Linked DNA regions of Anolis sagrei. The protein of the gene in region 2 purifies or fractionates together with the protein of the main gene of each other region. This does not show direct contact. Links are inferred from orthologs where the notes say so. Each region holds a gene or a part of one and is shown on either strand. Other genes may lie near its edges.

What was found. Proteins that work in one complex are often made in the same cells at the same time.
Region 1: the proteins of POLR1D (region 2) and POLR3K purify together in Homo sapiens (affinity purification with mass spectrometry; 3 studies listed by BioGRID and IntAct, with this or other methods). This does not show direct contact. The link is inferred for Anolis sagrei from reciprocal best matches to the Homo sapiens genes POLR1D and POLR3K.
Region 3: the proteins of POLR1D (region 2) and POLR1B purify together in Homo sapiens (affinity purification with mass spectrometry; 5 studies listed by BioGRID and IntAct, with this or other methods). This does not show direct contact. The link is inferred for Anolis sagrei from reciprocal best matches to the Homo sapiens genes POLR1D and POLR1B.
Region 4: the proteins of POLR1D (region 2) and POLR1F purify together in Homo sapiens (affinity purification with mass spectrometry; 3 studies listed by BioGRID and IntAct, counting the BioPlex papers as one, with this or other methods). This does not show direct contact. The link is inferred for Anolis sagrei from reciprocal best matches to the Homo sapiens genes POLR1D and POLR1F.

Annotation. Positions count from the first base shown.
Region 1 is NC_090035.1:14,606,975-14,614,264, forward strand, and holds POLR3K (DNA-directed RNA polymerase III subunit RPC10), read right to left. Parts: upstream 2,627-7,290; coding exon 2,516-2,626; intron 2,424-2,515; coding exon 2,336-2,423; intron 1,574-2,335; coding exon 1,446-1,573; 3' UTR 1,124-1,445; downstream 1-1,123. Other genes in the region: general transcription factor 3C polypeptide 1, read left to right, coding at 321-557; SNRNP25 (U11/U12 small nuclear ribonucleoprotein 25 kDa protein), read left to right, coding at 2,678-2,788, 2,955-3,051, 5,842-5,947, 6,052-6,126, 6,367-6,421. UniProt on the Homo sapiens protein: Core component of RNA polymerase III (Pol III) which synthesizes small non-coding RNAs using the four ribonucleoside triphosphates as substrates. Can mediate Pol I proofreading of the nascent RNA transcript.
Region 2 is NC_090023.1:31,193,122-31,201,295, reverse strand, and holds the start of POLR1D (protein POLR1D), read right to left. Parts: upstream 3,238-8,174; 5' UTR 3,081-3,237; coding exon 3,055-3,080; intron 1-3,054.
Region 3 is NC_090021.1:24,391,600-24,399,499, reverse strand, and holds the start of POLR1B (DNA-directed RNA polymerase I subunit RPA2), read right to left. Parts: upstream 3,624-7,900; 5' UTR 3,578-3,623; coding exon 3,401-3,577; intron 109-3,400; coding exon 1-108. UniProt on the Homo sapiens protein: Catalytic core component of RNA polymerase I (Pol I), a DNA-dependent RNA polymerase which synthesizes ribosomal RNA precursors using the four ribonucleoside triphosphates as substrates.
Region 4 is NC_090026.1:94,694,587-94,702,876, reverse strand, and holds the start of POLR1F (DNA-directed RNA polymerase I subunit RPA43), read right to left. Parts: upstream 3,624-8,290; 5' UTR 3,494-3,623; coding exon 3,261-3,493; intron 586-3,260; coding exon 444-585; intron 1-443. UniProt on the Homo sapiens protein: Component of RNA polymerase I (Pol I), a DNA-dependent RNA polymerase which synthesizes ribosomal RNA precursors using the four ribonucleoside triphosphates as substrates.

The sequences.
Region 1 (7,290 bases), on a different chromosome or scaffold from region 2:
ATTATTATCTCTTTTTGAATTATTACCATCTGGCAGATGGGATGTGATGATAAAAACAAGGACAAATAGGCTGAGAGAGAGCTTTTATCCTGGAGCTGAGACTATATTGGGCTCTATGTTTTTACACTGATATGTGGCATTTAGGGCTGTGCAATAGTGATTAAAATGTGTAAGGATGGATGTTTTGTAATTCTACATATATAATGAGCATTGGGGTGGCATTTAATTTTATTGTACGATGTACAATGACAATAAAGTTATTCCTATTCTATTCAAGACCCCCAAAATGGCTTTCTCCCCCTCCCTCCCTCTCTCTGCAGGGACTGGAGTCACTGGGCTGCATCCGGAGGCGCTGCCTGGCCCCCCAGCGGCCGGTCTCCCTCTTCTCGGCCCCTGCCCCAGAGGAGGAGAATCCCCCATGGGCTCCCCGCAGGCTGAGCGAAGAGGAGGAAGAGGCCCCCTTTTATGAACCCTGCCTGGAAGCTGCCCTCAAGATGGGGAGAGTATTCCCCTACGAGACCAACTGGAACAAATGGGGCTCGGCTGGGGGGCCCTGATCCCTTGGAAGCCACCTCCTATTTTGTAAATAAAGCAAGAGTGTCTCTTTTACAGAGTCCCTTCTCCTATAATGTTGCTGTGGCATCAAGTGTCAATACCTGGTGAATATTTGCTTTTTATGTTTGGAATTCACCCTAAGTCCCTTCAGGGAGATAGGGTGGAATATAAATACTTAGGCCATCCCTCATAGCTCGAGGATGATAGTCTTCCAGATGTGGTGTCTTTATATAAATAAAGATGATACTGACACAATATTTTGTTTATATTCTGCCCTATCTCCCCAGAGGGACTCAGGGCAGATTCCAAACATAAAAGGCAAATATTCAATGCCCGAACACAACAACAATACACCCATAGTGTATAAATAAAGATTATTGTTGTTATTATTATTATTTCCTGTGTTGAGCATGCTGCAGCCCCCATCCCAGCCTCAGGCCCTCAAAGCCCCAAATTCCTCAGCCCGGAGCAATAGTTCCCAAACTTTATTTGACTAGGGACCACTTTGACTAGGGACCACTCTCCAACATTAGTACCAAAAGGGTTACGAATCAGTTTTTGGTCAACATTAGGTTCGGTTTGTTTATTTGGGGTGCTGATTCAGATAATTGCATTGGATAGACCACATCAGCTCTAATTTCTGATACAGAACGTATGCCATCCAGTAGTCGCCATCTGCTTGCTCACAGAAAACCATATTTAATAAGTATCGGCACTATAAGAGGGTTTCACGACCATTAGCTCTCATTGCAATGTTGCAGTAACAGTGAGGCCGTGGAACATATTTTAGTTCTTGCGAACCACTGGTGGTCCACGGAACACAGGTTAGGAACCACTGGCTTAGAGGTAGGAAGGGTTGGAGGCCCTGGCCCCACCTGAACCCTGCGCCCTCAGTCCCGCCATCGGTGCCCACATTGGGGACTGCAGCACTTGTAGAAGGTTGTCATGGGTTCGTCGGCAGAGCGCGTCTGGAGCTGCATGAAGAAGGCGCGCGGGTGCTCACACTTGGGACAGGGCTCTGTGGGGCAAGGAAGGAATTATTGTAAATATAAAATTATATTATTATTATTATTATTAGAAATACAATAAGATGAGTCCACAGCAAATACTCTGCTGGCTGTTTTATTGGATCACACGTCGACACTTCCCAAGTGTCCAGGACTGTGTGATGTATCAGCGAATAATGCGTGCAGATCCAAGTAGGGTGGCCTTTTGCAGCTGGCAGATGGTAATTTTGTCAGCCCAATTGTGTTTAAGTACAGGCCAAGGTCTTTAAGCACTGCACCCAGTGTGCCGATCACCATTGGGACCACCTTGACTGGTTTGTGCCAGAGTCTTTGCAGTTCTATTATTATTATTAATTGGGTTGTTGTAGGTTTTTTTGGGCTATATGTCCATTTTCTAGAAGCATTTTCTCCTGATGTTTCACCTGCATCTATGGCAAGCATCCTCAGAGGTAGGGTGGCTTTTTTACAGCTGGCAGATAGTAATTTTGTCAGCACCGATTGTGTTTAAGTGCAGGCCAAGGTCTTAGGCACTGCACCCAGTGTGCCGATCACTGAGACCACCTGGATTTGCTTGTACCAGAGTTTAATCTTTAAATCATATTGTGTCAGCTTTTCCAGTTGTTCCTCTTCAATCATTAATATCTTATCCTTATTATTATCATTATTAATGGAGCCAATGGTGGCACAGTGGGTTAAACCACTGAGCTACTAAACTTGCTAACCCTAGCCCCGCCCCCTCGCTCTCCCAGGCCCCGCCCCTTTCGGTGACGCACCTGCCGTGGAGTCCACGTTCTCCCAGGCCGCGGCCCCGCCCAGCACGTCGTCCACTTCCTTCAGCTTCGGGTAGCGCCGGCTTGTTACCTAGCAACGGAAAGAGGGGGGGAAAGGTGAGCGAAGGCCGAGGAGGAGGAGGGAGGGAAGGAGAGAGGGAGCGGCCCCGCCCCTTGACGTGCCTTGCGCGTGACGTTGCGGACGTAGGGGCACGTAGTGCAGGCGAAGCGGTGGCAGCGCGGCCCCTCTTCGGCCACCAGGACGTTCCCGCAGGCCGGGCAGAACAGCAGCATCCTCTCTCCTCACCTTCCGTTTCCGCTCTCCCCTCACAAACCGGAAGCGTGATGGAGGAGGAAGAGGAGGAGGAGGAAGCACACGCGGACGTGCTGGAGCTCTGGCAGGAAGGACTCGCCCGACTGGTCCAGGACCCGCTGCTCTGTGACCTCCCAGTTCAGGTGGGCTGGGCACTGGGCGGGAGGCGTGGCCTACAGAGAAGGGGGCGGGGCATTGTTTGTGGGCAACATAGAAGGGGCGGAGCCTGATAATAAAGGGGCGGGGCATACGATGAAGGGCGGGACATGGGCCTGTCATTCACCCGCTCCCTCTCTCCCTATCTCCCAGGTGACCCCCGAGGAGATCAGCTCGCAAGTGGCGCTGGAGTACGGGCAAGCCATGACAGTGCGCGTGCGCAGAGCCGACGCCCCCGAGGCACCAATGCGTAAGTGCCAGGAGAGGCGTGGGCGGGGCCTAGTGGCCCAAATAGTGAGGCGCCTCTGTGGGCGGGGCTCAGAGGCGTGGGCGGGGCCTCAGAGGCGTGGGCGGGGTCTAATCGCCCAAATAGTGGGGCCCCTCTGTGGGCGGGGCCTAGGGGCGTGGGCAGGGCCTCAGAGGCGTGGGCGGGGTCTAATGGCCCAAATAGTAATGCCCTCTGTGGGCGGGGCCTAGAGGCGTGGACGGGGCCTCAGGGGTGTGGGCGAGGCCTAGTGGACCAAATAGTGACGCCCTCTGTGGGCGGGGCCTAGAGGCGTGGGCGGGGCCTAGAGGCGTGGGCGGGGTCTAGTGGCCCAAATAGTGAAGCCCTCTGTGGGCGGGGGTCTAGATGTGTGTCCGGGGCCTCAGTGGCGTGGGCGGGGTCTAATGGCCCAAATAGTAATGCCCTCTGTGGGCGGGGCCTAGAGGCGTGGGCGGGGCCTCAGAGGCGTGGGCGGGGTCTAATGGCCCAAATGGTGAGGCCCTCTGTGGGCGGGGCCTAGTGGCCCAAATAGTGAGGCGCCTCTCCTGCTCTCTCCTCCTTCCCTCCTATAACATACTACTACTGTTATTATTATATATTTAATATATTTTATATGTAATATTACTAATATTATTACAATATAATGGTATAGTACAATTTCTCCTGACGTTTCGCCCACATCTATGGCAAGCATCCTCAGAGGTGGGGAGGTCTGTTGGAAAACTAGGAAAATGGGGATTATATATCTGTGGAATAATGCCCAGGGTGGGAGAAAAAACTCTTGTCTGTTTCAGGCAGGTGGGAAGGTTGCAATTGGCCACCTTGATTAGCATTTAATGGCCGTGCAGTTTCAAGGTCTGGCTGCTTACTGCCTGAAACAGACAAGAGTTTTTTCTCCCGACCCTGAGCCCTTGTTTTATTGATATTGTTTTAACTTGTTATTAGAGCTGTCGGCAGTGCAATGGGTTAAACCAGGGGTCCTCAGACTAACGCCAGGGAGCCAGATACGGCCCTCCAAGGTTATTTACCTGGCTCTCGCTCAGGGTCAACCTCAGTCTGAAACGTGTTGAAAGCACACAATAACAACAGCAATCCTATCTCATCAGCCAAAAGCAGGCCCACACTTCCCATTGAAGTCCCCCCAGGGCTGGGTGAGAAAGGCAGTATATAAATACTGTAAATAAAAATAAATTTTAATACGAATAAGATTACATTTGTTAAAATTGTTCTTCATTTTAATTACTGTATTGTTTTTAAGTGTTTTTTGCACTACAAATAAGATATGTTCATTGTGCGTAGGAATTCATTCATGTTCTTGAGTGGAACTCTCTGCCCCGGAGTGTGGTGGAGGCTCCTTCTTGGAAGCTTTTAAACAGAGGCTGGATGGCCATCTGTCAGGGGTGCTTTGAATGCAATATTCCTGCTTCTTGGCAGGGGGTTGGACCGGATGGCCCATGAGGTCTCTTCCAACTCTTTGATTCTATGATTCTATGAAATTATAATCCGGCCCGCCAACAGTTTGAGGGACTTTGACCTGGCCCTAAGATTTAAAAAGTTTGAGGACCTCTGGGTTAAACCCTTGTGCTAGCAGGATTGCTGACCGAAAGGTCGGTGGATCGAATCCAGGGAGTGGTGTGAGCTCCCGTCTGTCAGCTCCAGCTTCCCATGCAGGGACATGAAAGAACCTTCCCACAAGATGATAAAACATTTGGGCAACGTCCTTGTAGACGGCCTATTCTCTCACACCAGAAGCGACTTGCAGTTCCTCAAGTCATTGCTGGCATATATATATATATATTACTAGCTGTCCCCTGCCACTCGTTGCTGTGGCCCAGTCTGTTGATCTGGAAAATGGCCTTGGATGGCCTTAAGTATTTTCTGTTGGTCATGGGGGTTCTGTATGGGAAGTTTGGCCCGATTCTGTCATTTGTGGGGTTCCGAATGCTCTTTGATTATAGGTGAACTGTGAATCCCAGTGACTACAACTCCCAAATGTCAAGGTCTATTTTCCCCAAACTCCACCAGTGTTCACATTTGGGCATACTGAATATTTGTTCCAAGTTTGGTCCAGATCCATCATTGTTTGGGTCCACAGTGATCTCTGGATGTAGGTGAACTACAACTCCCAAACTCAAGGTCAATGCCCACCAAACCCTTCCAGTATTTTCTGTTGGTCACGGGAATTCTGTGTGCCAAGTTTGGTTCAATTCCATCGTTGATGAAGTTCAGAATGTTCTTTGATTGTAGGTGAACTATAAATCCCAGCAAATACAACTCCCAAATGACAAAATCATAATTTTTGAGTGACGGTCACTCCTTGTGTTGTGAGATGTTTTGTTGCCAAATTTGGTGGATTTCGTTCATTGATTGTTTTGTTTTTAAGGTACTCATTATGCACAGAGCATTTATATTATTATTATTATTATTATTATTATTATTGCTTCTGTTTTGATTTGTATGATTGTTGAATGTGTTGTATTGTCTTCTTGAATTTGTTGTATTTTTTATGGCATTGAACTGCCTTGTTTGTTGTGAGCCGCCCTGAGTCCCCTTGGGGAGATAGGGTGGGATAGAAATAAAGTTTTACTCACTTATCAGTTTTACTTACTTTACACACTGTATCATTCATATGTAATTACTGTATGTATTCTCGTTTGTTGGGGCATCTAATTGTGCTGGCTATAAGCCGCCCTGAGTCCTCCTACGGGGGTTGAGAAGGGCGGGGTACAAGTGTTTGAAATAAATAAATACTAAATACTCCCTCTCTCCTTTCAGCGGTGGTGGTGGTGCAGAATGCCAGCATCCTGGACCTGAAGAGGGCCCTCCGGCGGTTTGTGCAGCTGCGGCAGGAGCGTGAGGGGGGCATCCAGCACATCAGCTGGTGGGTCCTGCTTCCGTGGGGCAGGAGAGGGGAGGGGGCAAGGTCAGGCAGAGCCAGCTCCACCCCTCCTCCTTGTCCTTAAGCCTCTCCTCCCTACCTGACAGGAAATACCTGTGGCGCACCTACTGCCTGACCTTCGGTGGAGAGAAGCTGACAGACGACCGGAAGAAGCTGAGAGAGTGAGTCTGTGGTGCCCTGGTACCCCTTGTGGATCCCATGCCCATACTCTGGCCTGCTTGCAGTGGGACCAGGCTCAGCCAGGTGGGGGGCAGGTGTGCTACGTGCTGAGGAAGGAGGTGCCCGAGGCTTCTGGCTGCAGTCCTTCACCCCCTTTGCCTTGCCACCCTCTTTGTGGGCCTTTCTGAGGGCCTGAGTCCCTGGGAGAGGAGGAGTCCTAATGTGCACAACGTTTTCCCCAGGTATGGCATCCGCAACCGGGATGAAGTCACCTTTGTGAAAAAGATCCGGAAGTGAGTCCCCAGGCAAGCCTCTGCATGGCCTTGAAGGGAAAGAGGCCCTCTTGGGAACTATAGGAGCATCCGAGGGGAGGCTTCCCATGAGCCCCTGAAGCCCAGGTACTAACCAGGGGACCAGAGGCACCTGCCTGCCTGCCTTTCTCCGTTTGGAGGGCAGGGCCAGGTCCCTCTCCCTGAACGGGGCTGGGAGCCTTCCTGACCAGTGCTGGCCAGAGGGTGGGTGCAAGGGATTAAGCATCATCTGTTGGATTTGTAATAAAGCTTGAGTAGTAACTGCTTGTTTACACTTTTATACAGAATCCCAAGTTGTTGTAGAGGGTTAGGGTGGTCGCAGAAAGCCAAGCTGAGAAGGAAGCCCCAATTCTATGACTGCTAAGAATGTTGCTTTGGGTCAAGCGTAGCTCTGTGGGCTTTGGCCAGCGCTCCCCCCATAGAAGACCAAGGCTATGCTAAGCCCCTCCCACCAGGAAGTCCCCTCAACACATGCTCTTTCAATCAGTAACCCAGTAGCACTTGGGGAGGTGTTTTCATAGTGAAGGAGCTCCCAGTGGTGCAATGGGTTAAACCCTTGTGCTGGCAGGACTGAAGACTGACAGGTTGCAGGTTTGAATCTGGGGAGAGCGTGGATGAGCTCCCTCTGTCAGCTCCAGCTCTCCATACAGGGACATGAGAGAAGCCTGGACACAAATATAGTCATTTTGAGGATTATTAGTATTATTGTACTTCAAGGAGCCCCCGGTGGCGTAATAGGTTAAACCAGTGGTTCTCAACCTGTGGGTCCCCAGGTGTTTTGGCCTACCATTCCCAGAAATCGCAGCAAGTTTACCAGCTGTGAGGATTTCTGGGAGTTGAAGGGCAAAACATCTG
Region 2 (8,174 bases):
CAAAAGGTCGGCAGTTCGAATCCATGGAGCGGGATGAGCTCCCCCTCTTAGCCCCAGCTTCTGCCAACCTAGCAGTTTGAAAGCATGCAAATGTGAGTAGATCAATAGGTACCGCTCCGGCAGGAAGGTAATGGCGCTCCATGCAGTCATGCCAACCACATGGCCTTGGAGGCATCTACAGTCAATGCTGGATCTTTGGCTTAGACATGGAGATGAACATCACACCACAGAGTCGGACATGACTAGATTTAATGTCAGGGGGAAACCTTTACCTACGCTGTGAGCTACTTTGGGTCCCATTAGGGAGAAAAGCAGGACAAAAATAAAGATATATAATCATCATCATCATCTTCACTACTGAGTTAATGCAGTTTGACACTGCCATGGCTCAATGCGATCACCCCTTCTGAGTCTCCCTTCAGACACATTACTCCATTTATCCATCTCACCCAGGGTTTTATAAATTTTACCCTTTGAATTTGGCCCGTCCACTGTGCGCTAATTTTTCTACCATTTTATTTTGCATTGTTTTATTGCATATTTTGTTATTGTTTTGCATTTTATTTTGTTGTTATTATTTGCTTGTTTGTATTTTATTTTGCTTGATTGTAATTCTTGGGCTTGGCCACTTGTTAGCCACCCTGAGTCCCCTTTGGGGAGATGGTGGCAGGGTATAAATAAAGTTCATTATATTATTATTATTATTATTATTATTATTATTATTATTTGAAACACAACAAGATCACTCTGTCGGCTGTTGTATTGGATCACATGTCGGACACTTCCCAAGTGTCTAGGACTGTGTGATGTATCAGCGAACAATGCGTGCAGATCCCAGTAAGGTGGCCTTCTGCAGCTGGCAGATGGTAATTTTGTCAGCGCCAATAGTATTTAAGCGCAGGCCAGGCAATTATCTCAGGCTCATCTTGTAAGTACAAAGGCGAGAGCCTTCTCCTCTGTGGCCCCCTGACTCTGGAACTCATTGCCCGGTGAGATTAGGAAATTTTCAAGGAGGATCTCAAAACCTGGTTTTTCCAATGCGCTTTTGGAGAGTAGCCATATTATCATACACAGTTGCTTCCCCTCAATGGTTTTTGTCCCCAGAGTATATTTCCACACCTGAATGAAGGTCTATATTTATGACCCTGTTCCTTTACAAGTTTCTCCCCCACGAACAATCTACTCTATCCCTATCTCATCCTGATTTTAGTATTTTTAGTATCAAGTTTTTATCTTGCACATGCGGCCCACTCATTGTTATGTTATTTTATTTTACGGTGTATGATTTTGCTTTATTGTCTTTGAACTCATATGTTGTATGTATTTTACTGTGTTATTATTGTATTTTGGTTTTACTTTATTGTAATATGTTGTTGGGCTTGGCCTCATGTAACCCGCCCCGAGTCCCCAGTTTATTATTGTTATTATTGTTATTGTTATTGTTATTATTATTATTATTATTATTATAAGGTCTTTAGGCACTGCACCCAGTGTGCCGATCACTACTGGGACCACCTTTACTGGCTTGTGCAAGAGTCTTTGCAGTTCGATCTTTAAATCCTCATATAGTTTCTGCTATTCCAGTTGTTTCTCTTCAATCCTGTCACCTGGGATTGCAACATCATCATCATCATCATCATCATATTATTATTATTATTATTATTGTGGTTTTGCATGGTCTTCTTTGCCAAAGAGTTCTTAGGACAGTGGTTCTCAACCTTCCTCATGCCGCGACCCCTTAATACAGTTCCTCATGTGGTGGTGACTCCCAACCATAAAATTATTTTCCTTCCTACTTCATAACTGTCATTTTGCTGCTGTTATGAATCGTCATGTAAATATCTGATACACAGGGTGTATTTTCATTCACTGGACCAAATTTGGCACAAATACCCGATACGCCCATATTTGAAAACTGGTGGGGTTGGGCGGTTGATTTTGTCATTTGGGAGATGTAGTTGCTGGGATTTATAGTTCACTTGCAATAAAAGAGCATTCTGAACTCTACTTGGCACACAGAACTCCCATGACCAACAGAAAATACTGGAAGGGTTTGGTGGGCATTGACCTTGAGTTTTGGAGTTGTAGTTCGTCTACATCCAGAGAGCACTGTGGACTCAAACAATGATGGATCTGGACTAAACTTGGCAAGAATACTCAGTATGCCTAAATGTGAACACTTGTGGACTTCGGAGAAAATAGACCTTGACATTTGGGAGTTGTAGGTGCTGGGATTTATAGTTCACCTACAATCAAAGAGCATTCTGAACTCCACCAATGATGGAATTGATCCAAACTTGGCACACAGAATTCCCGTGACCAACAGAAAATACTGGAAGGATTTTGGTGGGCATTGACTTGAGTTTTGGAGTTGTAGTTTGCCTACATCCAGAGAGCACTGTGGACTCAAACAATGAGGGATCTGGACTAAACTTGGCACGAATACTCAAGATGCTCAGATGTGAATACTGGTGGAATTTGGGGAAAATAGACCTTGATATCTTGGGAGTTGTAGTTGCTGGGATTTATAGTTCACCTGCAATCAAAGAGCATTCTGAAGCCCACCAATGACAGAATTGGGCCAAACTTCCCACATAGAACCACCATGACCAACAGAAAATACTGTGTTTTCTGGTGATCTTTAGTGACCCCTCCAGGGTCCCGACCCCCAGGTTGAGAACCACTGTCTTAGGACCTCAGCAAACTATAACCCCTATGATTCCCTGGCAGTTAAAGAGATGTCAAACCGCACTCATTCTAGATACACCTTCATAGTTGTGTGAATCCCTTCCTCCTGAAACAGCACCTACCATTCGCAAGTGGTCAGACCCTGCTTAGCTTCCAAGACCTGATGGGATAAATATACTGCAATAGTCATAATAATGGGGTGCGGTCCCTTTAAGATACCGAGGCCCTAAAGATCGGGCGACTAAAGGCCGCTGGGAAGCCTCTAGTAGGACCTTCTTGGCGTTCCCAGTCAAGGCCAAATCCCTCGGCTGCCAAGGGAGCAGCAACCGCCAGGCCTGCCCCTTCCTCCGCGCAGGCCTCACCCACCTCTCCAGCTCTGCGTCTTCCGCCATGGCGGCGGTTGCGGGCTGAGGGGTCTCCGTTCACTCTCACTCTCGCTCGCTCGCTCGCTCGCTCTCTCAGGCCGCCGCCATCATGGCTCTCTTTCTCGCTGCTTCCTGCGACGCAGCAGCCAATGGGAGGCGGAGCTCGCGACGAGGCCAAACAGCCGCTCGCGAGGACCCCGGAAAGGGGCGGGGCCTCTTGGCAGAAGAAGCCCCGCCCCCAGCGCTGCCTGCGCCTGAAGTTCCTGTCTGGGCCCACAAGCCTGAATCATAGAATCACAGAGTTGGAAGAGACCTCATGGGCCATCCAGTCCAACCCCCTGCCAAGAAGCAGGAATATTGCATTCAAATCACCCCTGACAAATGGCCATCCAGCCTCTGCTTAAAACCTTCCAAAGAAGGAGCCTCCACCACACTTCCGGGCAGAGAGTTCCACTGCTGAAGGGCTCTCACAGTCAGGAAGTTCTTCCTAATGTTCAGATGGAATCTCCTCTCTTGTAGTTTGAAGCCATTGTTCCATTGCGTCCTAGTCTCCAAGGAAGCAGAAAACAAGCTTGCTCCCTCCTCCCTGTGGCTTCCTCTCACATATTTATACATGGCTATCATATCTCCTCTCAGCCTTCTCTTCTTCAGGCTAAACATGCCCAGTTCCCTAAGCCGCTCCTCATAGGGCTTGTTCTCCAGACCCTTGATCATTTTAGTCGCCCTCCTCTGGACACATTCCAGCTTGTCAATATCTCTCTTGAATTGTGGTGCCCAGAATTGGACACAATATTCCAGATGTGGTCTAACCAAAGCAGAATAGAGGGGTAGCATTACTTCCCTAGATCTAGACACTATGCTCCTATTGATGCAGGCCAAAATCCCATTGGCTTTTTTTGCCGCCACATCACATTGTTGGCTCATGTTTAACTTGTTCTCCACGAGGACTCCAAGATCTTTTTCACACGTACTGCTCTCGAGCCAGGTGTCACCCATTCTGTATCTTTGCATTTCATTTTTTCTGCCAAAGTGGAGTATCTTGCATTTGTCACTGTTGAACTTCATTTTGTTAGTTTTGGCCCATCTCTCTAATCTGTCAAGATCGTTTTGAATTCTGCTCCTGTCCTCTGGACTATTGGCTATCCCTCCCAATTTGGTGTCGTCTTAGAGTCATAGAGTCATCTCCACTGGGAGAGTGACAACAACAACAACGCATTATTATTATTATTATTATTATCGTCATTATTATTATTTATGTGTTGCCTGCCTCACCTCTTGAAGGCAGGTTTCAACATAATTAAAATTCCTATATACCAGGCCTGGGCAAACTTGAGCCCTCCAGGTGTTTTTGAACTTCAACTCCCACCATTCCTCCAACTCCCAACATCTTAACAGCATCCACCCGAACATCCAGTTCACTATGGAAAAAGAAAACGAAGGAAGACTGCCTTTTCTAGATATCCTAGTCATCCGTAAACCAGATCAACAATTGGGTCACACCGTTTACAGAAAACCCAGACACACAGATAGATATCTACATAAAAACTCCAACCATCACCCAAGTCAAAAAAGAAGCACCATTAAAGCCTTGGCAGACCGTGCAAAAAGAATCTGTGAACCCCACCTCCTCCAAGATGAACTGAACCACCTCAACTGGGCTCTCCAGGCCAATGGATACTCCGCCTCAGACATCAGAAGAGCTGCAAGACCAAGAACAAGCCACGAGAGTAAAGATGAAGATCCACCCAGAGGAAAAGTGTTCCTGCCATACATCAAGGGAACCACTGACCGCATAGGGAAGCTGATGAGGAAACACAACATACAGCTGTGGACAAGTCTACATAGGGACCACCAAACGCAGCGCCCAAACAAGAATCCAGGAACATGAAAGGCACTGCAGACTACTCCAACCAGAGAAATCAGCCATAGCAGAGCACCTGATGAACCAACCTGGACACAGCATTTTGAGAACACAAAAATGCTGGACCACTCTCACAACCACCATGTCAGACCACACAGAGAAGCCATTGAAATCCACAAACATGTGGACAATTTCAACAGAAAGGAAGAAACCATGAAAATGAACAAAATCTGGCTACCAGTATTAAAAAATTCTAAAATTGCAACAGCAAAAACAGCAGAGAGAAAAACAGGCAGGGACATCTAATCACCTTTCAAGAAGAGTTTGCTCCAGGCACAGTCAGCCCATTGTATGCTAATCAGGTGGTCAGTTGAAAGATTCACACCTAGCCCAACTTACAAAAGCCCTTTGTCTCACCCTGATCATTCCACAGATATATAAACCCCCTTTTTTCCCAGTTCCAGCAGACCTCACCTCTGAGGATGCTTGCCATAGATGCAGGCGAAACGTCAGGAGAAATGCCTCTACAACATGGCCATATAGCCCGAAAAAACCCACAAGAACTGAGTCCCACCATTCCTATTTGTGATTTGGACATTTTAATTTTTAATTTAATAACAATAATATCAATAACAACAATAATAAAAAACTTTATTTATATTCCAGTCTTTATCCCCGGGGGGACTCAGGGCAGATTCACAAAAGATTTATTTATTTAAACTTTATTTATATGCCGCCCTTCTCACCCCAAAGGGGCTGCAGAGCAGCTTACAAGATATATATACATACAATATATTATTAGCATAGTACAATGTCAGTATTATATATTACTATATTGTACTATGCTATAATATATTGTAATATAATTAGTAATATTACATGTAATATAAATATATAATTATATTATTAGTATTATATTGCAGTTCATTATAATATTATAAATATATGTATATACAATATATTACATTACATTATATTATATTATTAGCATAGCACAGGAGACAAGGTGGAACTGTCCCCTGGCTCCCTCTCTCTTCACTCTGGCCCAGAGCGGCAGTTGGAGCTGGGGGGAGGGGTCCCCAACTGATGAATATGCAGGAGGAGACAAGGTGGAACTGTCCTCTGCCCCCCCCTCCTCACTTTGACCCAGAGTGGCAGCCGGTGCTTGGGCGAGGGGTCCCCAAATGATGACATGCAGGAGACAAGATGGAACTGTCCCCTGGCCCCCTCTCTCCTCACTTTGACCCCGAGCAGCAGTCAGCGCTGGGGGAAGGGGTCCCCAACTGATGACATATGCAGGAGACAAGATGGAAGTCCCCTGCCCCCTCCCCCGCCCCAAGTGTGTTGTCAAAGTGTTGTCAAAGTGTGTTGGCAGTGTGTTGTCAAAGGATTTATTGGCTGGAATCACTGGGTTGTTGTAGGTTTTTCGGGCTGTATGGCCATGTTCTAGAAGCATTCTCTCCTGATGTTTCGCCTGCATCTATGGCAGGCATCTTCAGAGGTTGTGAGGTCTGTTGTAAACTAGGAAAATTGAATTTATATATCTGTAATGTCCAGGGTGGGAGAAAGAATCCCTGGCTGTTGGAGCTAGGTGTGAATGTTTCAATTGGCCACCTTGATTGGCATTTGATGGCCTAACAGGATTTTTTTTAGATGTGACTTGTTATTGCCTGGGGGGAATCCTTTATTGAGAGGTGATTCCTGATTGTTTCTTGTCTGGAGTTCCCCTGTGTTTGTGTGTTGTTCTTTATTTACTGTTATAATTTTAGAGTTTTTTTTTAATACCGGTAGCCATATTTTGTTCATTTTCATGGTTTCTTCCTTTCTGTTGAAATTGTCCACATGCTCGTGGATTTCAATGACTTCTCTGTGTCATTGAACAACTAGGGGTCCAACATTTCTGTGTTCTCAAATAATATGCTATGTCCAGGTTAGATCATCAGGTGCTCTGCTGTGGCTGACTTCTCAGGTCGAATTAGCTTGTAGTGCCTTTCATGTTCCTTGATTTGTGTTTGGGCACTGCATTTCGTGGTCCCTATGTACACTTGTCCACATCTGCATGGTATACGGTAGATTCCTGCAGAGGTGAGAGGATCCCTTTTGTCCTTTGTTGAATGTAGCACTTGTTGGATTTTCTTAGTAGGTCTGTAGATAGTTTGTGTTTTCTCACCAGGTTCCCTATGCGGTCAGTGGTTCCCTTGATGTATAGTTCCTTTGGGTGGATCTTTGCCTTTACTCTCGTGCCTTGTTCTTGGTCTTCTGATGTCTGTGGTGGAGTATCCATTGGCCTGTAAACCCCAGTTTAGGTGGTTCTGTTCGTCTTGGAGGAGATGGTTTTCGCAGATTCTTTTTGCACAGTCTGCCAGGGCTTTAATGGTGCTTCTTTTTTTTACTTGGGTAATGATCGGAATTTTTATGTAGGTATCTATCCGTGTGTTCTATAAACTCTGTGAACCAATTGTTGATCTGGTTTGCGGATGACGAGAACATCTAGAAAAGGCAGTTTTCCTTCATTTTCTTTTTCCATGATGAATTGGATGTTTCGGTGGATGCTGTTAAGGTGGTCCAGGAACCTGTTTAGTTCTTCTTCTCCATGGCTCCAAGTGGTGAAGGTGTCATTCACATATCTGAACCACATAGTGGGCGTTTTTGTTGTTGTTTCCAGGGCTTGTTTTTCAAAGTGTTGCATGTGGAAAACAATCCAACATAGCCAACATCACACATAAATTATATAAACAACAGTAACTTTCATATGAAATAATTAATTAAAATATGCAGCCAATAACGCCAGCGAGGTCAACTATACCAACCAAGCTAAAACCACCTGAATCAGAGTTTGGTCATAAGTTCAGAACAGGTAAATTGATTGAATGTGAACATAACAAAAATAAAAAGTAATCATGTATCTATACAGGTATCCCACTATTATTATTAATAATAATAATAATAATAATAATAACCCAGTCCTAGAAGCTTGGGAAGTGTTTGACTTGTGATTTTGTGATACGAAATCCAACATATATATCTTGTTTGCTGTGACATACTGTGTTTTTTGTGTCAATAATAATAATAATAATAATAATAATAATAATAATATGTACATATGCAGATGCCAATAATAATAATAGTAATAATTCATGTATATATACAGATATCCAATAATAATCATTTTCATCATCATAATCATGTACATACACATATCCAATAATACTAATTATTTAAAATAATAATATCATGTATGCATACAGGTATCCCAAAAT
Region 3 (7,900 bases), on a different chromosome or scaffold from region 2:
CTCTTTGCATATCGTCCCCTTGGGAACCATTGGAGGGCTGATAACGGCGCTGGTAATGGCCAAAGTGATCCGTGTGTTCTTGCAAGCAAACTCCAAAGGCGGAATGGCCTAGAAGGAAGGAAGGAAGGTTCACTGGATGAAGAGAATGATTTAGAAATCTAGCAGCAGTCGAAACAATAAGCTGGAAGGGCTCATTTCCTTGTCATAGGATGAGATCCAATTCATTTAGAACAGCCCTAGGCCAATTTGGGCCCTCTAAGTGTTTTAGACTTCAACTCCCACAATTCCTAACAGCCTCAGGCCCTTTCCTTTTCCCCCTGAGTGCTTAAAACACACGGAGGGTCGAAGTTTGCCCATACCTGCTTTAAATAAAAATGGAGGGTATGCTGGAACATCTACCCAAAATTCCCCTGCAGGAATGCATTGCAGAGGAATCTCGGTGTGGCTGAGCAAGCAAGAACTCCAGATATAATTTTATTTATTTATTTACTTCATTTATATACCGCTTTTCTCAGCCCTCAGGCGACTCAACATACATTGCTCAACATACATTTTGGTGCCTCAAATGTTAGACCAGTTTCTGGGTATATCTGTCCTGTTGATTCTAAAAATGGCACCAATTTCCCCCTATTAGCTCTAGCTTTTGCGATACAGAACATGCCATCTGCCACTCTTCATCCGCTTGCCAAGAGAAAATAATGATGACCATATGTAAGAAACTAGAGCTCTCCAATTCAACTTTCTGAATCAGTGCCCCAAATAACTCCAGGAATATACCAACATATGTTTTGAAGTTGGAAGTTTGAAAAAAAAACCTGCAGAGAATGTTCTGTACGGTTCCGGTCCAGTGTATCTGTCCGAACGTATCTCCCTCTACGTCCCACCCCAGAGTCTGAGATCATCTGGGGAGGCCCTGCTCTCGACCCCACCGCTATCACAAGTGAGGCTGGTGGGGATGAGGAGCAGGGCCTTCTCGGTGATGGCCCCTCACCTGTGGAACTCGCTCCCGGGAGAAATTAGGGCATCAACATCCCTCCTCTCCTTCAAGAGGAAAGTAAAGACATGGTTGTGGGACCAGGCCTTTGGGCAATTTGACAACTAGATAAGGACAATCAAATGACTAGGACTGACAATGTGGAATTGGAATTTGGGCTATGAGATAGTGAACGCTGACCGTCTATGAGGAGTAATTAGGTTTGTATCGTTTTATTGGTTTTAGGGCTGTAATGCAGGAATTGTTTGACTGTTTCAACTGTTTAATTGATGTTATTTTGTTTTACTACTGTTATGTGATGTTGGCATCGAATTGTGCCTTTGTAAGCCGCCCTGAGTCCCCTTCGGGGTGAGAAGGGCGGGGTAGAAGAAACCGAAATAATAAATTGTGTAATCCTGTGTGATGGAATTTCCTATAGTGTATTTATTTATTTATTTATGACATTTCTATGCCACCCTTCTCACCCCGAAGGGGACTCAGAGCGACTTACAAGATATACATATACATACAATATATTAAATTATTAGTATAGTACAATGGCCATCTGTTGGGGATGCTTTGAACTGTTGGGGGTGCTTTGAACGCGATTTCCTGCTTCTTGGCAGGGGGTTGGACTGGATGGCCCACGAGGTCCCTTCCAACTCTATGATTCTAATATTCTAATCAGTAGATAAATAAAGTAAGACATTGATGTTGCAGTCATAAGAACAGGTCATCACATCTCTGGGTAGATTGTAAGAAATCTGGAAGGCCCAAGTTTGCCCAGGCCTGCTCTACACCGCCAGATAACCTGGGATAAGCAGATAATCCGGGATATTATTATTAACTTTATTTGTACCCCGTTAGTATCTCCCGAAGGACTCGATGCGGTTTACAAAGGCCAAGGCCACAAAACACAACACAAACAATATAACACCAAAAGCAAAATTAAAAACAGTAAAAGTAATATTAACGACATGCAATAGACAGTATATCATGACACAATAAAAACTGGGCCGGGCCAGAGTAATGGGTACAAGATTAAAAGTGCTGATGTGGCAGGTGGTATACGAGGATTATAGGGCAAGTGCAGTGTGCGGTGTGCAATAATCTTAATTCTACTAAAAGTGCTTCGAGGACTTGTTATTGGAGATTTCCTATTCTGGAAAGGCACATCGGAACAGCCAGGTCTTCAAGTTCTTTCTAAAGACTGCCAATGTAGGGGCCTGTCTAAGATCTTTTGGGAGGGTGTTCCAGAGTCGGGGGGGCCACCACAGAAAAGGCCCTGTCTCGTGTCCCCACCAGCCGCGCTTGTGACGCAGGCGGAATCACGAGCAGGGCCTCACCAGATGAACGAAGTGCACGCGTGGGTTCATAAATATAAAAGCTGTAAATAAATAAATAAATAAATGCGAATATATACACACACAAAACACACAGACTGGGCCACTGCACACATGCGCAGAACCACATATATAGACAAACACACATATATACACATATGCACAAATATATACACACACAAAACACATATACACAGACTGGGCCACAGCAACGCGTGGCAGGGAAGGGCTAGTAGATAAATAAAATAAGACATTGATGTTGCAGTTCTAAGGACATGTCATCATATCTCTGGATAGATTGTAAGAAAATTGTATTGTCGAAGGCTTTCATGGCTGGAATCACTAGGTTCTTGTGGGTTTTTTCGGGCTGTAGGGCCATGTTCTAGAGGCATTTCTCCTGACGTTTCGCCTGCATCTATGGCAAGCATCCTCAGAGGTACTGTGGTCTGTTGGAAATAGGAAAATGGGTTTATATATCTGTGGAATGGCTGGGATGGGGCAGTTTCAACAGAAAGGAAGAGACCATGAAAATGAACAAAATCTGGCTACCAGTATTAAAAAACTCTAAAATTACAACAGCAAAACAGCAGAGAGGAAACAACCAGGCACATCTTAACACCTCTCAACAAAAGATTTTCCCAGGCTCAGCCAGGCCTTCAAATGCTAATGAAGGTGGTCAGTTGAAACATTCACACCTAGCTCCAGCAGGGAAGAGCTCTTTGCCCCACCCCAGCCATTCCACAGATATATAAACCCATTTTCCTATTTCCAACAGACCTCACTACCTCTGAGGATGCTTGCCATAGATGCAGGCGAAACGTCAGGAGAAAATATGCCTCTAGAATATGGCTCTATAGCCCGAAAAAAACCCACAAGAACCTTGTAAGAAAATCATTTGAAGTGCAAAACACCTGGAAGGCCCAAGTTTGCCTAGGTCTGCTCTACACCGCCAGATAACCTGGGATAAGCAGATAATCCAGGATATAGGCCAGTGTAGGCCCAGCCTCAGTGGGGTTGGCAGCAACCTGCACCCACAGGCCAGGCCAGGCCTCCCTTTTTCCCCCCGTTCCTTCCTTCCTTTCACCTGCACGGCCCGGAGCAGCCCATCCCCGGTGGCGAAGTCGAAGGACTCCACGTGGGCCCGGGTGACATCCTGCAGGGCTTGCCGCTGCTTCTCTCGAGGAAGGCCGCGCTCCGGCGCCGTCAAGGGCTTCAAACTCGGGGCGCCGGGCAACCCTCGCCACTTGCACGCGGCCTCCATGCTTCGGACTCTCAGAGCCAAGCCAAGAACTCCAAGAGCCAATCAGGAACCGGAACAGCCAACCAGGAACTGTAACAGCCAATCAGGAACTCTGAGTCCATGCTTCGAACTCTTAACAGCCAATCAGCCTCCGCAGTTTCCACCTTCCCCGGTGCATAAACAGAACCGCCCACTCCCGGCATGCCGTGCGCTGATCACTTCCGGAAATCTCTTATCTGTATTGAGGGCTCTGTAGGCACTAGCTGCTTCCCTCACAAGAGAGGGAGGTGTGTGAGGGAGCTCACTTAGAATCATAGAGTTGGAAGAGACCTCATGGGCCATCCAGTCCAACCCCCTGCCAAGAAGTAGGAAAATCTCATTCAAAACACCCCCAATAGATGGCCATCCAGCCTCTGTTTAAAAGCTTCCAAAGAAGGAGCCTCTACCACACTCTGAGGCAGAGAGTTCCACTGCTGAACAGCTCTCACAGTCAGGAAGTTCTTCCTAATGTTCAGATGGAATCTCCTTTCTTGAAGTTTGAACTTACTTACTTAGGCGATCCCTCATAGCCCGAGGATGATGGACTTCCAAGTGTATTGTGAAAATCGCATTCAAAGCAGCCCCGACAGATGGCTATCCAGCCTCTGTTTAAAAGCTTCCAAAGAAGGAGCCTTCACCACACTCCGGGGCAGAGAGTTCCACTGTTGAACGGCTCTCACAGTCAGGAAGTTCTTCCTCATGTTCAGATGGAATCTCCTTTCTTGAAGTTTGAACTTACTTACTTAGGCGATCCCTCGTAGCCCGAGGATGATGGTCCTCCAAGTGTATTGTGAAAATCGCATTCAAAGCACCCCCGACAGATGGCCATCCAGCCCCTGTTTAAAAGCCTCCAAAGAAGGAGCCTCTACCACACTCTGAAGCAGAGAGTTCCACTGCTGAACAGCTCTCACAGTCAGGAAGTTCTTCCTAATGTTCAGATGGAATCTCCTTTCTTGAAGTTTGAACTTACTTACTTAGGCGATCCCTCGTAGCCCGAGGATGATGGACTTCCAAGTGTATTGTGAAAATCGCATTCAAAGCAGCCCCGACAGATGGCCATCCAGCCTCTGTTTCAAAGCTTCCAAAGAAGGAGCCTCTACCACACTCTGAGGCAGAGAGTTCTACTGCTGAACGGCTCTCACAGTCAGGAAGTTCTTCCTAATGTTCAGATGGAATCTCCTTTCTTGAAGTTTGAACTTACTTACTTAGGCGATCCCTCGTAGCCCGAGGATGATGGACTTCCAAGTGTATTGTGAAAATCGCATTCAAAGCAGCCCCGACAGATGGCCATCCAGCCTCTGTTTCAAAGCTTCCAAAGAAGGAGCCTCTACCACACTCTGAGGCAGAGAGTTCTACTGCTGAACGGCTCTCACAGTCAGGAAGTTCTTCCTAATGTTCAGATGGAATCTCCTTTCTTGATGTTTGAACTTATTTACTTAGGCGATCCCTCATAGCCCGAGGATGATGGCCCTCCAAGTGTAGTGTCTTGTTGGTGGTTCCATAGGTGACCATGGAGCCCTATTCCTGATCCACATGTTCTCCCACAGTGAGGACATCGGTTTCGAGGGAAGGCGTTGACTTGAAGCACCTTCCTCTTGGTACGTTTTTCCCTTTCGCCCTCCATTTGTGCCTCTTTGAATTCCGCATTACTGATGGTCACAGCTGACCTCCAGTTAGAGCGCTCAAGGGCCAGGGCTTCCCAGTTCTCTGTGTCTATGCCACAGTTTTTAAGGTTGGCTTTAAGCCCATCTTTAAATCTCTTTTCCTGTTCACCAACATTATGTTTCCCTTCTTGAGTTGGGAGTAGAGTAACTGCTTTAGGAGACAGTGATCATTGAACATCAAGAAAACCAACGTGCTCTTAATAATAATAATAATAATTACGATTGTGTTAAAACACAAAGTATGGATTGTTGATGTTGCAATCCCAGGTGACAGCCAGATTGAAGAGAAACAACTGGAAAAGCTGACACAATATGAGGATTTAAAAATCGAACTGCAAAGACTCTGGCACAAGGCAGCCAAGGTGGTCCCAGTGGTGATCGGCACACTGGGTGCAGTATCTAAAGACCTTGGCACACTGGGTGCAGTGCCTATTGGCCTGTACTTAAACACAATCAGCGCTGACAAAATTACCAGCTGCCAGCTGCAGAAGACCACCTTACTGGGATCTGTTTACAGAAATGCTGATTGTTTGAGAAATCAGTGCTGCAAAGAGGAAGTTACTTTTCAAGGATAACAGTACATCCGGACAAAACCGACTAGCTGGTGGCTAGTTTGAACCCCCAAGTTTCCCAGTCGCTCTGGAGCCATGTTTGCAACAGACTAACAGATAAGACTGATTTATTAAGACAGTCATGTTCTGAGAACAATAGACTATAGTTGGGCCATTGTTAGGATCCCACGTGTGCTATAATGTCAATCAAAATCATAAACCACCAATGAGCAACTGTACAGCTAGCTTAGACCCATGACATTATTTGTCTTTGGGAACCAATTAGAATATGTATGCTAAAAATGATAAAAGCTCTACAGCCCCATTGGGGGTTGCAACAAACCCTTTGATTGCATTCCTGAATGCATGTTTTGTCATTATTGCTATAGCCAAGCAATAAATAGTTTGTTTTTGTTTTTTGCAGTTTAAAGATTCAGCTTTTGTGAAGTCCTTCCTCGTCCTCCCCATATATATATTTTTTGCCCCTACAATTCGTGCAGTTGCTTCCAATTCTTCATGACCTCATGGACCAGGCCAGAGCTTAATAATAATAATAAAACTTTATTTATATACCGCTCTATCTCCCCAAGGGGACTCAATGGATGCTTAATGCACAATATTTCCAGAGTCTGCAGCCTGTGCCATTGTAAGGGTCCAAGAATTCAGCACCCTGGAGAGTTCTCCTCAATGGCCTCACTTAGGGTGCATCTGCACTATACATGGGCCAACTTGGGCCCTTCAGGTGTTTTTGGATTTCAACTCCCACAATTCCTAACAGCTGGCGGTGAGAGAACCAGATGAATGAGTGAGTAATAGTGAGAGGGCTACCCAGAACCATCTAAATGGCTACAAAGCTGTCACAGATAATATCTGGCCCCACTCATCAAGCTGGACACACTCTTGACCTTGTTTTTGTGGCGGACAACGAAATGATCAGAGTGGAAGATCAAAACATCCTTCCAGTGTCATGGTCTGACCATCACCTGATCACATTTAGACTTACTGCGACCCTAAACCTCCGCAGGGGTGGAGGACAAATTAAGATGGTCCGCCCTAGGAGACTGATGGATCCGGACGGATTCCTGAGGAATCTTAGGGTTCTTCCTGCCTTGGAGTCTGGCGATTCTATCGACGCCTTGGTAACTCTCTATAATGGGGAGATGGCCAGGGCGTTAGATACGATCGCACCTGAACGCCCCATCTCGTTGCGTCGTGACAGGCCATCTCCTTGGTTCACCGAGGAGCTGGCTGTGATGAAGCATACGAGAAGGGGGCTAGAGCGCAAATGGAGGAAATCTCGAGATGTGTCTGATCGAACACGGGCTAGAGCCTCTCTTAAGGCATACTCCGTGGCTATACGGGTGGCCAGGAAATCATTCACGACCGCTCGTATAGCATCTGCAGCAAATAGATCATCGGAGCTGTTTCGGGTCGTGGGAGAACTCCTCCACCCACCTGCGGTGGAGGAGGTCGCTGATGACCCTGCAGCTCGGTGTCGCGATTTCGCACACCATTTTGCAGGTAAAGTCGCCCAGATACGTCTTGAGCTCGACTCCAATTCCATCGCAGTGCCAGGAGAGGTGACGGAGGCACCTGCTTGTCCAACCTTGTGGGATTCTTTTAGGCTTGTTCTTCCTGAAACCGTGGAGGAGATTCTTGGGGCTGTGAGAGCGACCACCTCATCTCTTGACCCATGCCCATCTTGGCTCATTAAATCAGCCAGAGGGGGGTTGCTTGACTGGTTTGTACCGATTATCAATGCATCGTTGGAGCAAGGAATTTTTCCATCTAATTTGAAGCAGGCCGTGGTTCGCCCACTTATCAAAAAAGCTTCCCTTGACTCCACGGTGCTGAATAACTACAGGCCGATCTCCAACCTCCCCTTTTTGGGTAAAGTGCTGGAGAGGGTGGTCGCCTCTCAGCTCCAGGGTTTCCTAGTCGATACCAACTACCTAGATCAGTCACAGTCTGGTTTCAGGCCTGGTCATGGCACTGAGACAGCCTTGGTCGCCTTGGTGGATGACCTCCGCAGAGAGCTGGACAGGGGGAGTGTGACTCTGCTGGTTCTCTTGGACATCTCAGCGGCTTTC
Region 4 (8,290 bases), on a different chromosome or scaffold from region 2:
ATTGTCCACATGGGTGATTGAGGTAGTTACATTTTTATTCTGGTGATTCAATGTGCACAAACTTTGTTTCATGCACAAAATCAGTTAAAATATTGTGTATAAAATTACTTTCAGACTATGAGTGCAAAGTGTTTTTGAAATATAAATGCATATGTGTTAAAATTTGATTCACATCTCCAAAAGAATTCATTATATGCAAATATTCCTGAATCCAAAATTCAAAACACTTCTGGTTCCACAAATGTCAGATACAGAATATTCAATTTGTATAACTAAACTGTTTTGTTTTTAAAGCCTGCTTTAAAAAGGCTTAGCTATCACACACAATAGTAAATCAGTTAACTTCAAGCACTCAGTGATTAGATTTTTCAGTGTAGTTGTACTCATCAATGGAGATGCTGTATTATACTCATTAGAAATATATTTTTTCTTTGTCTACATACCACAAGTTTTCTTCCAGCTTGAGGCTGAAAGACTACAAAACTTGCTTCAATGTCCAGATGGATAGCCCCAATGTCATCTATTATATCTCCCAGTTCTTTGGTTATTTTGATATCATCATACGCCACAGGGACACCTTGGAAACTGCAAGAAATAAAGAAAGCTATCAACACATACACTGAAAAACAATGAATGATTTCCAGAGTAAAAGAGATCAAATCCTATTTACAGAATGTTTGCACAGATAAGATTGCCTGGCCCTCTTCTGAGTGTCATGTAGAAACAAGAACAGGTACTTTTGATTACAGAATTCATGTATGTGTGTGCGCGCATATGTAACTACAGAGAGACCTAGCTGTGGAGTTTATAAGGGGAAAAAAGTTCAGATATGAGTAGCATTGGGTTCTTGTAGGTTCTTTTGGGCTATAGGGCCATGTTCTAGAGGCATTTCTCCTGACGTTTCGCCTGCATCTATGGCAAGCATCCTCAGAGGTAGTGAGGTCTGTTGGAAATAGGAAAATGGGTTCATATATCTGTGGAATGACTGGGGTGGGGCAAAGAGCTCTCTGCTGAAGCTAGGTGTGAATGTTTCAGCTGACCACCTTCATTAGCATATGAGTAGCATTGTTTACCAGAATTACTTAAAATGATATAGAGACGATTTCAGCTATGAGTTAAAGGGTCCTACCCTTGAGGATCTTTCCTAAAGAAGTGATACAATACCATATATCTCTCCAAGTCACATCATCCATCATCACCTTTCGCAATGGTCCCTATGTGTGTGCATGCCTTCAAATCTTCTGTCAATATATGCCTATATCCATGTAATAATAATGTTGTTGTTCATTCGTTCAGTCGTCTCCGACTCTTCGTGACCTCATGGACCAGCCCACGCCAGAGCTCCCTGTTGGCCGTCACCACCCCCAGCTCCTTCAAGGTCAGTCCAGTCACTTCAAGGATGCCATCCATCTATCTTGCCCTTGGTCGGCCCCTCTTCCTTTTACCTTCTACTTTCCCCAGCATAATTGTCTTCTCTAGGCTTTGCAATAATAATAATAATAATAATAATAATAACAACAACACTTTATTTATATTGCATCCTTCTCACCCCGAAGGGGACTCTGGGCAGATGACAGCACATATACACGGCAAACATTCAATGCTGCTCTGTACAGACAATACACAGTCAGAACAGAAGGAGGTGGTTTGTTTCGATGCAGTGTCCAGCTGTTTTTGGTGCCATGGAAGGTTGGACTGGAGTCCAGGGATACTGTTGCTCTATCCTCTAAGACGAAAAGCCGTCACAACTTCCTCCTTCCTTTTTGGTCGCCAACATTTTCTGATCTTCTTTATGGTGTCATAACCACCACCACCACCACTTTTAGCGGTACCTAATTTCTCTAATTACAGCTAAAGCTGTTTTCGAATTGCTTAGGTAAGCAATGAGCTAGGCTGACCGTCGGCAGCTCACACTGACCTGGGGCTTCAAACTTGCACTCTTTCAGTTGATAGATCCTATAATTGCTGGTGATTTACCAGCTGTGCTAAACCTCTGGCCCTTAGGTCTGACAATGCTTTGCTTCCAAGATCAGACGAGACCTGTCGCTTTCAAGGTAATGTCCTACTCATGACTTAATTTCCCACACAGCCATATTACTCAGAATATCAAGGCAGGAAATCCCACATTATCTGCTTTGAACTGGACTAGATGGCAGTGTGGACTCAGATATTCTAATTCAAAGCAGATATTGTGGGAGATTTTGTGCCTTGATATTCTGGGTTATACGGCTGTGTGGAAGAGCCCCAAGTAGAACTGTCTGCATTTAGATCCAGTCTATGGGGTCTTTTATAAACATGTATTTTATAAATATTCATCCGGAGAGGCCCTGCTCGTGATTCCACCTGCGTCACAGGCGCGTTTGGTGGGGACGCATGACAGGGCCTTTTCTGTGGTGGCCCCCCAACTCTGGAACACCCTCCCCAAAGATCTTAGACAGGCCCCTACATTGGCAGTCTTTAGAAAGAACTTGAAGACCTGGCTGTTCCGACGTGCCTTTCCAGAATAGGAAACTCCAATAACAAGTCCCAGAAGCACTTTATTAGAACTAAGATTGCTGCACACCGCACACTGCACTTGCCCTACAATCCTTACATATCACCTGTCACATCAGCACTTTTAACCTTGTAAACATTACTCTGGCCTGGCCCAGTTTTATAGTGTCTTGATGTATTATTTATCACTTGTTGTTTAATATTGCTTTAACTGTTTTTAATTTGCTTTAGGTGTTGTATTGTTATGTTGTGTTTTGAGGCCTTGGCCTTTGTAAGCCGCATCGAGTCCTTCGGGAGATGCTAGCGGGGTACAAATAAAGTTAATAATAATAATAATGTCTATGTGATATAAGCACTAAATGATATACAAGCAGCCCCCAACTTACAAACATAATTAAGAACAGGGGCAAGACAACAGTGAGGGAAAAGTACCCCTAGGAAGGAAAATTCACTCCTGAAAGGGTTATCATGGCAAAAAGGTGCCTCCACTGAAACTTTATCTAAAAAATTGGACTTAGGCCAGATAGGAGAAAAGTTGGGCCCTCCGGGTGTTTTGGACTGCAACTCCCACCATTCCTAACAGCCTCAGGCCCTTTCCTTTTCCCCCTGAGGCTGTTAGGAATGGTGGGAGTTGCAGTCCAAAACACCTGGAGGGCCCAAGTTTGCCTCTGCCTGCTATAAAGTGTTTAAATTTTCCAAGACCAGCCTTGAGGCCTCTGTGTGGGGATTAAGAGAGGCCTCCACGACAGCGCCGCCCGGGCCCTGACCTCTCGGAGAAGCGGCGCAGCTCGGCGTCCAACTGGAGGCAGATCCCAGTCCGCTTCCGGTGGAGGAAGCGCGGCGGGAGGGCGACGTGCCTCCGATGAGGCATGACCACCAGGCAGGAGTAGCGACTCTCCGTCAGCGCCCGCGCCGCCTCGAAAGAGGGCAGCTGGGCGCCGAAGGGAGGAAGCGCCGCCGGAACTGGGACCGCGCCTTCGTCGTCTGTCTCCGCCGCCATCGCGCCTTCTGCGACGAATGTCTTCGGGGATCACTCCCCCTTCCCCGCACGAGGCGCCTCTCGCGCTCCCTCCCGTCGCCCTGTGATGACGCTGACGCAGTCGACACAAGCGTCAGGCCTCCCTCCAGACTGGGAGACAGCCCTAAGCGGAAGTGGTTCTGCCTCTCTTCCGGTGAGGGTGATGCGGCCGCCATCTTGGGAGTGGCTTGGCTCCTTTCGCTCCGCCCACTTCTAGGAGGAAAAGGGTATAGCTGTGTGGAAGGTTGCAAAGATCTCAAATACGCCTTAAACATCCCTGATCTGAAAGGCTTCAGACAAGAAGTGTTTGGGATTTTCCCCCTCCCTCCACCCAGATTTGGAATATCTTTATTTGTATACACAGTAGACTCTCAGGGCCCTTCCACACAGCCATATAACCCAGAATACTTACTTAGGCGATCCCTCCTTGGACGAGTAGGATAGTCTTCCAGGATCAGTATTCTTGTGGATCCCTAGGTGACTGTGGAGCCCTATTCTTGACCTCCATCTTCTCCCACAGTGAGGGCATTGGTTTACAGGTGGAAGGCGGTCTCACTTGGGGTTGGCTTGACGCGCCTTCCTCTTGGCACATTTCTCTCTTTCACTCTCCATTGTGCCTCTTCAAATTCTGCAGCACTGCTGGTCACAGCTGACCTCCAGCTGGAGCGCTCAAAGGCCAGGGCTTCCCAGTTCTCAGTGTCTATGCCAGAGTTTTTGAGGTTGGCTTTGAGCCCATCTTTAAATATCTTTTCCTGTCCTCCAACATTCCGTTTTCCCTTCTTGAGTTCGGAGTAGAGCAACTGCTTTGGGAGACGGTGGTCAGGCATCCGGACAACGTGGCCAGTCCAGCAGAGTTGATGGCAAAGGGCCATCACTTCGGTGCTGGTGGTCTTTGCTTCTTCCAGCACGCTGACGTTTGTCCGCTTGTCTTCCCAAGAGATTTGCAGGATTTTTCGGAGGCAGCACAGATGGCAGGCAGTGGGGCTGAAATTCCCAAAGGCCACCCCCCCCCCCAAAAAAAAATTTCATGGTGCTCCGTGAGAAGGCCTTACTGGTACATTATTTAAACTGTTATGTTTACTCATATCATGATCTGATCACCATACTCAATATATCCCATATGCATGGGGCTATTGGTATAACGAGACAAAAGGTTTGCAAGGGTAGATCTTCAGCCCCCCCCCCCCTTGAATCAAACTCAGCCCCTCATACAGCTGTGTGGAAGAGGCCTAAATCCAGTTCAATGCAGTTAATTGGCATCCTGAAACTGGATTATATGGCGGTGTAGATCCAGCCAAAACAGTTTGAATCTCCAAGACCCAAAAGGCATCCAGGCAGTTTCACAAAAGTCACTTTTCTTCTTCTTAGGCCTCTTCCACACAGCTGAATAAAATCCCACATTTCTGCTTTTTGCTGGGTTATATGGCAGTGTGGGCTCAGATAGCCCTTCCAGACAAGCCCTATATCCCAGGGTCTGATCTCGGGTTTTCTGCTTTAAACTGGATTATATGAGTCCGGACTGCCAGAAAACAGAAAATCTGGGATCAGATCCTGGGATATAGAGCCTGTCTGGAAGGGCTCTCAGTTCAAAGCAGATATTGTGGGATTTTCTGCCTTGATATTCTGGGTTACATGGCTGTGTGTATGGTCTTTATTTTCTTATACTTATTTATATCCTGCTTTTTCTCACCATATGGAGACTCAAAGCAGTTCACGACTAAAAGCATTGCAATACAACTTAAAATAGACAAATGTACAAGTATTAAAACAGTATTAAACATAATTAAAAGCATACAAAATCACAGCAGCCCCTGATGAGCTTAAAACCCTTCCTCTTTAAAAGCCTGCCTGAATAAAACGGTTTTAACCTGAGGCCTGAAGGACAGCAGGGAGGGATCCATTCTGGCTTCCCTGTGCAGGGAGTTCCAGAGTCGAGACGCAGCCACCGAGAAGGCCTTCACTCTTGTTCCCACCAACTGCGCTTGAATGGAGGTGGGACCAAGAGAAGGGCCTCTCCTGAAGATCTCAGTGCCAGGGCAGGTTTGTACAAAGGGATGTGGTCAGCCAAATAGCCTGGACCTGAGCCGTCTAGGACTTTAAAGGTCATAACCAGCACTTTGAATTGTGCCGGAAACAGATGATAAAAATATGATTTTTATTTTGATGGTCTTTAGTACATTTTGGGAGTTGCTGAGGCTCAGGCATGTAGCCGGGGGGGGGGGGGGCTTCAACCCCCCCGAAATTCTCATGGTGGTCTGCAAGAAGGCCTTACTGGTACATGCTCAATATATCCCATATGCATGGAGGTATTGGGGTAACAATACAAAAGATTTGCTAGGGTAAACCCTCTTTCACTCAGACTCACCCCCCCCCCCCCCCGCCCCAAAAAAATTCAAAATCCTGGCTACGGGTTGGTGAAGTTGGATCTACATTGCCATAGAATCACTGAGTTCAAAGAGACCTCATGGGCATCCAATCCAACCCCATTCTGCCATGCAGAAAAAGCACAATCAAAGCACCCACAACATATGGCCATCCAGCCTCTGTTTAAAAGCCTCCAAAGAAGGAACTTCCACCACAGAATGGTCAGTGTAAACTCATATAATGCAATAATAGAGTTAAACTGCATTATATGAATCTACACAATTGAACTGCACGCTATGGCAGTGTAAATGGGTTCAAGGTTATCTTTCCTCTTTCCTCTATGTTTTGCTATTCATTGATGTTTAAGTGAAGGCTTCTGGAAGCAACTAGTGTTTACCTTGTCAGTCGTAGGCAAGCTCATACAATTCCAATAGTAGAAATGGGAGAACTATTCTATTTTTTCCAGCTCAGGCTTCATTGCATTGTTTACTACAGACATGCTCTTGCAACTCAATGTTTCTCCAGCTCTTCTTCAGCATCCTCCTAATGTTGGTGCTCCTAAAAGGTATCTAGCTGGACAGAGGACAAGGAGGAGAAGCATTCCAGGCGGTTATAAAAAGTCTTAGAAAAAATGGAGTCTCAGGGCCCTTCCACACAGCCATATAACCCAGAATATCAAGACAGGAAATCCCACAATATCTGTTTTGAACTGGGTTATCTGAGTCCATACTGCCAAATATTTCAGTTCAAAGCAGATAATGTGGGATTTTATTCAGCTGTGTGGAACAGGCCTCACTATCAGAAACATTTAGTTTTATGTACAGGCAAACCAAAAGTGGTAATGAATAATAAAAGTAAATTTAGGAAGTAGTCACCAGGTGGCACAATTGAGCTTTGAATATATAAGCAATGTTTAACCCAAGTAAAATAGTGTAAAGGGATTCATTCCCCAAAGTTTAATATGAAAACAAACACATCATTATTCAAAATGTTTGCGCAAAGTTTGGTCTTAACTGCTCCTATTAATCTTAACAGTGTTCGCTGTTGCGACCTAAACAGTTTTGAGAGAAACTTGCATTCCTTTCCATTTGTTTTTGGCTGTTCTTCATATTACCTTTTGAGACTCTAGTGTTGGGCATTTCCAGTAGTTCTTCCTTAAGCTTTCATGGTGTCCCCAAATTATTTAACTTTAGAGCAAGGGGTACCTTTTGCCTTTCAGTTCTTTGGGAATACATATCCCCAAATCTCTCACAATCTGCTGTCTTGATTAAGGCTGGTGATATTGGTGTAAAATAGAGATTAAAGATTCCGCTGTATGTTGATATGTTATAGGGAGGCTGGCCACCTCCATTTTGACAATAGTTGTCTCTTCCCATAGCCTGCATTGTTTACTAATATCTGTCATTTGTGTTATGCAAGTAATTCTGTAACCACAATATTATGTGCCCAGATGTTACGGTTATATACAGTGCCAGACCCTGAGACGTCCTCCAACAAGAAATCCTAAAAACATTCCGTCCTGGTCACATAGACCTCAGATAAGGATTACCGCATATGCCTTAGAAATCACTCTATAAAATACTGACACTTGAAATAAACTTTATCTCGGCTGCGAGTAGCTTGGACAGAAGCTGTGCTGGGGCTCGGTACATTCTTTGGCCAAAGTTGTTGTTTGTTGTTGAATCTCCGTTTCAGATCCCATCTGAGCTTTGTGTCTCACCTGGAGAAGACCCATTGGGCTGATGTTTCAAATCTTACTTAAAAAGTGTAAGTAGGCTAAACATCTAGAGATCCAAGGCAAGTATATTCCAAAGTATAGTGTCAGCCTTATTATTCTTTATCTAAAATTATTATTATTATTATTATTATTATTATTATTATTATTTTGCATTAGGATTTGGCCCCATGTACTGAATTGTAGCCCCCTTAACCAGTTTTTGCCCTCGTTATTTTTGAGGAATGGTTGCTACCATTGGCTACATTTGAAGAATGTACCTTGTCAAGCCATAACAAGGATCTGTGTTCCTTCCTTTCAGAATGGAGATAGAGGCAATTTTGCCCTGTTAAGGATGGGCCACCACCAGATGAAGAATACCCTGCTGATACACAATTTTATTCAGATTTATTTACAGGAAATATGCTTTTATACCTTCTACTGATTAAGGGGGCATTTTTCCACACAAGCACAAGATGGTTTATACCCAAGGCACAACTCCCCCCACCCCCTAAAAAACTGGAAGTAAAATATTTATTATGTAAAACAATTTTGTGTTCTAAGAAGAAGTCACAGATTGCATCACTAGATGAATCATTCTTATTCTAAACATATGGCTATTATTAACAGATAATGTTGTTCTCTCCTATGACCTATTGGATTTAGAGAGAAATCCGGTAGCACAAAAGAGAAACAAGGCT